Mus musculus: one gene and its partner. The protein of the gene in region 2 interacts with the protein of the main gene of each other region in a biochemical or structural test. Links are inferred from orthologs where the notes say so. Each region holds a gene or a part of one and is shown on either strand. Other genes may lie near its edges.

Region 1 (4,321 bases), on a different chromosome or scaffold from region 2:
CTACTGGCAAGACCTCACAGAGAGGTCTCCTGCTCAAGTGTATTTCTGCAAAGTAGGCAGCGTTTCCATTCCCAGGTGTGTCTACTTGCCATTCAAAAGCGAATGCTTGTTAGACAAGTTCCCATTTTGAAAACTCATGTACAGGCATTGACAGGAAGGAGGGAAGAGAGTTGCAGGGTCAATAGGATGGCAGCACACTGATCGGTGTCTTTTTATTCAGGCTACATGTATCTCATAATATATGGTACATACACACGCGCGCGCGTGCGCGCGCGCACACACACACACACACACACACACACACACACTCACACACACACACACACACTTTACAAAAAGTTACACAGAGCAGCAATTTTTGAGCTTTATTTTAAGGGACACACAGGATTGCATAATAAGGTGTGGAATATAGTAATGTTATTATTATAACATTCTGATGTTAGTTGAAAACTAAGTGTTGTTCTGAGCCATGTAAATCTTCAGAAGACAGGTTTTTGTTTTTGTTAGCACAGTGGAAGGCAAAATGAGTTCCGCCAAGAACAACTTTAAAAGAAGCAGCCACTGTTGACGAGACCGACTTTAGAAATCGCTTTCTGAAAGTCTGCATTAAAGGACTACGGAATCTCAGCAGCCAAATCAGGATGGCTTACACCGTGCTGCTCATGAAACTCACACAGGCACTTTGAATATGTTCTTTAAGAGTCGGTGTGCTTTTTAGAAAGATAAGTTGAAATACTAATTCCAAGCAGTTAAATCTAACTTGAAAAGGTTCAGTGAGTTTCTATTTCTCATTAACAAGAACAGTAAATTTTGATTTAAAGTTTACATAAACCGGGCGAGGTGACGCACGCCTTTAATCCCAGCACTTGGGAGGCAGAGGCAGGCGGATTTCTGAGTTCGACGCCAGCCTGGTTTACAGTGAGTCCCAGGACAGCCAGGGCTACACAGAGAAACCCTGTCTCGAAAAACAAAAAAAACAAAAAACAACAAAAAAGTTTACATAAAAAAGTTGTTTATCAACTACAAATGTACGAGAGACAGTAGTGTCCTGAAACACATCTTGGTGGTAGGCGGCAAATCTAGCCATCTGAGCTGTCAGTGGTTTCCGCGTCTGTGCGGTAAAGGAGAGGTTTCCCGGCCAGTGGCTCAGTGGGTGGTTCCCCAGCTAGTGGCTCTGCTGGTCCCCACTGGTGAAAAAGTTCGCATCTCTTGGACCGCCTCTTCCTGGCGCTGACTTCACGCGTGCTCCTGCGCCTGCTCGCGGCGGATACTGACCGGCTACGTTCCCGCCATATATTTAAGTTTCATTTCCAGCGGCCACTGAGAGTTCCCCTTTTCGCGGCCTTTCTTCGAAGTCGATTTATTCTTTCCCGGACCGAAGAGCGGCAGATATGGAAGATCCGCGTAGAAGGACGACGGCGCCACGCGCTAAGAAGCCGTCCGCGAAGCGCGCCCCGACGCAGCCCAGCAGGACCAGGGCCCACGCGGAAAGCTGCGGCCCGCAAAGGGGGGCTCGATCGCGGCGGGCGGAGCGTGACGGGGACACCACGGAGAAGCCACGTGCCCCAGGGCCCCGAGTGCATCCAGCAAGGGCCACTGAGCTCACCAAAGATGCACAGCCCTCGGCCATGGACGCGGCAGGAGCCACCGCGCGGCCTGCCGTCCGGGTGCCCCAGCAGCAGGCCATCCTGGATCCGGAGCTGCCCGCCGTACGGGAGCCCCAGCCGCCCGCGGATCCCGAGGCGCGGAAAGTCGTAAGGGGACCTAGCCACAGAAGGGGCGCGCGCTCCACCGGGCAGCCCAGAGCGCCGCGAGGGTCCAGGAAGGAACCGGACAAGCTAAAGAAGGTGCTGGACAAATTGAGATTGAAACGCAAAGATATCTCGGAGGCGGCCGAGACGGTGAATAAAGTTGTGGAACGCCTGCTGCGCAGAATGCAGAAACGGGAGTCGGAGTTCAAAGGTGTGGAGCAGCTGAACACTGGCAGCTACTATGAACATGTGAAGGTGAGCGTCAAGACCTGCTGGAGGGGCTCCGGCCCCACTCCTCACTTGCCTCCTCAGCTGTTTGGGGGTCCCACACTCTTAGGGCCCCCCTCCCTTGGAACACCCCAGTCTTTTTTTTTTTTTTTTAATTCATCCAGTTAGCTCACAGCAAGCAATATTGATAGCTAGTTAGTTTGCTTTGGAGGGATGGGACAGGTGACCTTAAAGTAGTCGCAGGGGAGTCATCTTTATTAATCCTTCCCCAACTATAGCCTCTAGATTGAATCTAGTCCATCCCTGAGACTTTGGGACCGCCTGCAATTAGGGCAGAATTGTATACAACTAATTGGGAGAGGTGGCTGGGTACTCAAGTGAGGGTCCGTTGACATTGTCGCACCCCCTATGAGCGAACGTCATCTACAAGCCTACCTCTAATGCTCTTCGGAGAGTAGGCCCGGCTGAGTTCCTGAAGATGATGGTGATAGCTATTCTCTGCTAGTGAAATGAGCCAATTCAAGCCAAATTAAAATATATTAAGGCAGGTTTATTAGAAAGCTGCTCTTGGGCAGGTTCACTGGTCCTAAGAAAAAGGCCAGGGTAGTCACTGTGGGGAGGGAGACAGAGGGAAGAGGGAAGAGAGAGAGAGAGAAAGAGTGTGCCCACGCAGGGAGAGAGAACATACAGAGAGGCAGAGTTGGGTAGAGAAGGAGGAAGAGAGAGAAGAGAGAAGAGGGGAGAAAGGGAGAGGGAGAAGGAAGGGAGGGAAGGAAGGGAGAGAGAGAGAGCGAGAGCGAGAGAGAGCGCACAAAATGCCCACATTATATAGAGAAGAGCTGCTTCTGGCGGAGGGGAAGCCCAGCCCCTTGGCTGAAAGGTTCAGGGCAGAGGCTGAAGTATGCTAGCCATGCTCTGTAACAGGTAGGGACTGAGGGACCTGGGAGAACCTGGAGGCCAGGTCGGCTTTGGTTAAATGCGCACCTGGATCTGAATCCAGACACCTCAGCCTTTTGTTGATAATAAATGAATAAGGGGCCTCGCAATTGTCTATGGCTACTTTGCTGACATTGGGGTGCCATGATCAGGGAAGGGGTTCAAAACTGGAATGCTGACCAAGTCTGAGAAGAGCAGGCTGTGTAACTTGCTGTCCAGGTTGTGGGACTGTTCTGGATTTGGGATGCTAATAACAGATAGGAGCAGAAGATAAAGTTAAGGAGGTTAGGGAGAAAAAGAAATTTTCTTGGGTGTACATTTGAAACCTTTAGGCCCATGGTCTTGGTAGTTGGGGTGGGGCTCCCAGGACCAGGGAAAGGGGACTAGATCCCCCCTCAGGAATACACAGGTAGGGGAGGGAAGCAGGTTATTGATTGGCAGTACTTATCTGGAGTCAATTTGACCTGTGAGAAGTGGATTCGAGTGGATGCCCTGAAGCTTAGAAGTATCTTTTTAAGTTTACAAAAAGAGATAAATATTAGAAGTGTTAGTTTTACCACTGTTCCATGTTAAACTCTGAACTTTGAGGTCTCACCACAATGATAGCACAGCGAGGGGAGGGAACGGGAGGGAAGGGGAAGAGATCTGAAGCATTTTCCTTCTCCCTTAGCTCACTTTCCTTAGCATTCAAGGTTTTCACGACCTCCAACCTTCATACCTTACCTTTAGCAACCTCAGAACACCTTGCTATTTCCTCGCGCACTTTCTTAGACGCTTTCCTAGCCTCAGACCTTACATAAACTGTAAACTGTTTTTCTGTTCAAAATCACCATGAGACACTGGCGGGAACACTCACTGTAAAGTGAGTTCCTTTAGTAAGAAATAGTAAAAAGTTACTTCTCTCATTGGTCTTCAAAGTCTTCAGAGACCTGAGAAGGATAAAATTTACCTAAGTAAGCAGGAACAATAATCCAAAAATGGCCTATATATCAACTAAAACGACCGAGGCGAGTCTAAAGTCTACTACCTAAACAATTGTCCCAGGCTCTGTGGCCTCCATGGCACCTTGTGCAGAGGCAGTCTTTGGCCATTTGGTCCAGACTATGAGAGGCTTTTCCTGTGGAGGAGGAACATGGGAGAGACAGACCTCACCTTGTCTTAGGCAGCATGGACAATTAACTCTCTGGTGTCCTGTTTGTCCATGGTTCAGGCTGGCCCTAGCCTGGGCAAGGCAATGTGGCAGTCTTTCTTGGTGATTAGTGTAGTACAAGCTAGGTGGAGTCCTTTACCGATATGCCAGGATCTTCTTGGCGACCTTGAGGTGGTCACTGCCAGGATTTAGGAGTTTCTGTTTGTCATGGTAAGTTTAAGCCTCTTAAATGCCAGATTCAGCAGGTCTCTGAAGT
Region 2 (3,558 bases):
GGTGGGTCTCATTTTTAAAAAGCAGTATCAGAAGTAGAGTATAAGCCTTCTGAGACCATAAGGGCCCGTACATGAACACTGTTACTCTCCTGCCTCTCTGAACACTGCTCCAGATGGCTCTAAACCTATCTTGTATGCCTGCTCTTCCCAGAACCAGGGCCCAGAAATCACATGTCAAGGGAGAGGGGGAACTGACTAAGTAAGAAGCTCTGCTTTTAGGAAAGCTAGTCAGAGTATTGTAAGGCAGGAAGGCAACTGAATCCACCTCTCAGCTGTGCAAACCGTACCAAGCATGACAAAGGAAAACTGATCAGGAGCCCAGCCTGGCTGTGGAATGAACTGGAGGAGATCCAGTCTGAAAGCTGGACCAGGGTGGAAAGCAGCAAGCTAGTCGGAAGTTCCTGCTGCTTCTACAGGAATCTGTCTTTCCTTTAAGACAAATCACATCCTGTCTTTGGGGTCCCCTTCCTCTGAGAAAACAATGTGTGAACTGCAGAGACATTCTAGGCAGACGAAGATATGAAGCAATGCCTGAGTACATTGTGGGGTAGCATGTCATCCCCTCACGGTTGGTTGCTCTGATAAACTCATGCAGGCACGCAACCAAGAGGTTTATTGCTCACTATGTCCAAGGAACTGGATGAAGCAGGGAAAGCTCTGATGACTTCTGAATGGGTTACCATATTCAGAGCACTGAGCTCCTGACCAGCCCTACACTACTCACTTCTGCTCCTCATACTGTACCCAGGCCCAGAAGGCTCCATTACTATAAGCAGGGCTGTGTCAGAGTGTAACGGAGTCTAAGCACAGACCTTGCTGCTGTGCTGTACTCTGAATACAGTTTGTCTTCTTACAGATAAGAGGCTAAAAGGAGAAATGCAGATGACACATATAAACACAGTTCCCAAGGAACAAGAGGTCCTAACATTTCACTCCTCCCTGATCCAAAATAGTCAAAGTGTGTGTGTGTGTGTGTGTGTAGGATTAAGCTTTTATTAGCTAAGTATTGTTTATAATTTTTAATTTATGGTCATGGGCTATGTCTTAGAATCACTACTTGCAGTACAGGTGATGAGGCCCTCTGTTTGTAATAGAACAGAACACATCCCTCATGTACCTAATACATGGTAAGTGCTCAGATCATTGGATAAGTGTGGCAATCTGCAAAGAACTTAAGGGATTTTGGAAAGTCTATGCATGCAGTGATAATAATCTGCAACTTCTATATTGCTGAATTCTAGGCAGCTTTCTAGCAGGATATATTCCTGATTTAAGGAAAGTGGGCTTACCTGGAGGAGGCCGTCCATCATTTATGTTAAATGCTGTGGCAAATATCCCAAATGGAAATGCTCCAATTCCAAAAGACATCTGAAAGCCACCATCTCCAAATCCAAATCCTTGAAATCCCTATGGAGAAGAAAAGCAATTAAGAAAAATAAGCAGATTTAATCACCATCTCTCAGTGTCTTACATCACAGCACAAATATGGTCCTCATGTTTCTTCTTGTCCCTCTGCCACAAACTAAGGCCTTGGCTCTTCCTCCCAGCCACACCACAAAGCAAAGGAACTCTGGAGGCACCTCTGACCTTCTACCCTTGGCGTATAGCTAAGGGGCTATAACTGGTCCAAAAAGATACAGCTCTGACCAAAAGCGAAAAACACTGCTCTCAGGGTTTATATACAATGTTAGATCATTTTCCAGGGTTCCATATTAGCCAGTAAAATTTCCTACATATTATCTATTACACAACGCTGGCCATCAGTCCTATGGCCAAATGCAAAGGAACATCATAATAGGATACAGACTATCTGCAATAACAAAACAATATGGACTCTGACTCATCAATACATCAGTCAAACAAAATCTTGTAACATGTTCTCTAAGGAACCTGGTGCACATTTATGCAAACAGACAGAAAACCTGTTATGACTTAGAATGTCAAACTGTTTAAGCTCCTGTACAATGATAATATATAAATATCTTGTCAAGATATGAGTATTCCGCCGGTCATGGTGGCACACGCCTTTTAATCCCAGCACTCGGGAGGCAGAGGCAGGCAGATTTCTGAGTTCGAGGCCAGCCTGGTCTACAAAGTGAGTACCAGGAGAGCCAGGGCCACACAGAGAAACCCTGGCTCGAAAAACCAAAAAAAAAAAAAAAAAAATGAGTATTCTCCTAAAGGCTTCAGGGGCTGTGGATGGCTGAGCTGGCTGAGCACCTGCCGAGTATTCAAGAAGCTCTGAGTTTGGTCCAAAGCACTGCATTAATTTAGTAGCTAAGTGGTGGTAGTTGGATAATTAGCTCTCCATCAGTCTGGTCTATATAACAAGACTTCCAACAAGACTCTCAAAAACAAACACAAACCCAAATAAAAACAGAAACAAAACATACACATATAAATTTTTCAAGTCACATAAAATTCTGAATATTTAAAACAATTTAATTTCTTCAGATTACTATAAAACTGGGTATGGTACTGTGGTCCCAGCTCTTGGGAAATGGGGACAGGAGGAGGAGAAAGAAAAGGAAAAAGAGAGTAATATATATTTGTCATTAGAAAATAAGTCAGGGGCTGGTGAGATGGCTCAGTGGGTAAGAGCACCCGACTGTTCTTCCGAAGGTCCGAAGTTCAAATCCCAGCAACCACATGGTGGCTCACAACCACCCATAATGAGATCTGACGCCCTCTTCTGGTGCATCTGAAGACAGCTATTATGTACTTACATATAATAAATAAATAAATAAATAAATAAATAAATCTATCTTTTAAAAAAAAAAGTCAGAAATCTTTCCAAATAGCCACTGTTGGCAGTTTGCACTCCAACCTTGGTTTCTCCCCAAATATGTTCCTACCCATTGTCTTTCCCAGGAGTGGACTTAGCAGAACTGTAGCTCTGTTAGTAAGCAGCTCCTCTGAGTGCAAGGTCTGCACATAAGACACAAACACCCTCTCCCTATTCTGACAGGATCTCACTAGGTAGCTTAGGCTGGCCTCAAATTTGCAATGCTCCTGCCTCAGACTCCTGACTGCTGGAATTACAGATAAGTACATCCAAGAGTGGCAGCTTATGTTTAATTCTTGCATTAACATTTTACGGAAGACTAAATTTGGCCAATGTAATCTGAAAATTCAAACTTTAATAAAAATGTATTATTATTGCATGTAGGTGTTCCTATGTATATTACACATGTGTCATAGAACATATGTGGTTAGAGGCCAACTTTGTGGAGTCAGTTCTCTTTTTACCTCTGTAAGTTGTGGGGATTGAACAAAGGTCACCAGGCTTGCGTGAAAAGAGCCTTTACCCATAGAACCAACTTGATGACCCTGAACACTCATACTCTTAATCACTGTGCACAGCTTACAAATTCTTCTCCATCCTTTGAACCTCTGGTGAGTTCTTTAGAACAAATGATGAAATAATGGAAAGATTGGGGTGGAGGGCAGGCAGGCATGGTGGCATACACCTTTAATCCCAGCACTGCCACCCTAATTTATATATCGAGCACTGGCTAGCAAATTCATAATGAGAAGAAAGAAATTAAGGAACTATGT

The links.
Region 1: of the proteins of Rnf185 (region 2) and Cgas, one has a biochemical effect on the other in vitro, tested with the Homo sapiens proteins (2 studies listed by BioGRID). The link is inferred for Mus musculus from reciprocal best matches to the Homo sapiens genes RNF185 and CGAS.

Annotation. Positions count from the first base shown.
Region 1 is NC_000075.6:78,440,149-78,444,469, reverse strand, and holds the start of Cgas (cyclic GMP-AMP synthase), read left to right. Parts: upstream 1-1,232; 5' UTR 1,233-1,391; coding exon 1,392-2,006; intron 2,007-4,321. UniProt on the Homo sapiens protein: Nucleotidyltransferase that catalyzes the formation of cyclic GMP-AMP (2',3'-cGAMP) from ATP and GTP and plays a key role in innate immunity.
Region 2 is NC_000077.6:3,418,573-3,422,130, forward strand, and holds part of Rnf185 (E3 ubiquitin-protein ligase RNF185), read right to left. Parts: intron 1,408-3,558; coding exon 1,290-1,407; intron 1-1,289. UniProt on the Homo sapiens protein: E3 ubiquitin-protein ligase that regulates selective mitochondrial autophagy by mediating 'Lys-63'-linked polyubiquitination of BNIP1.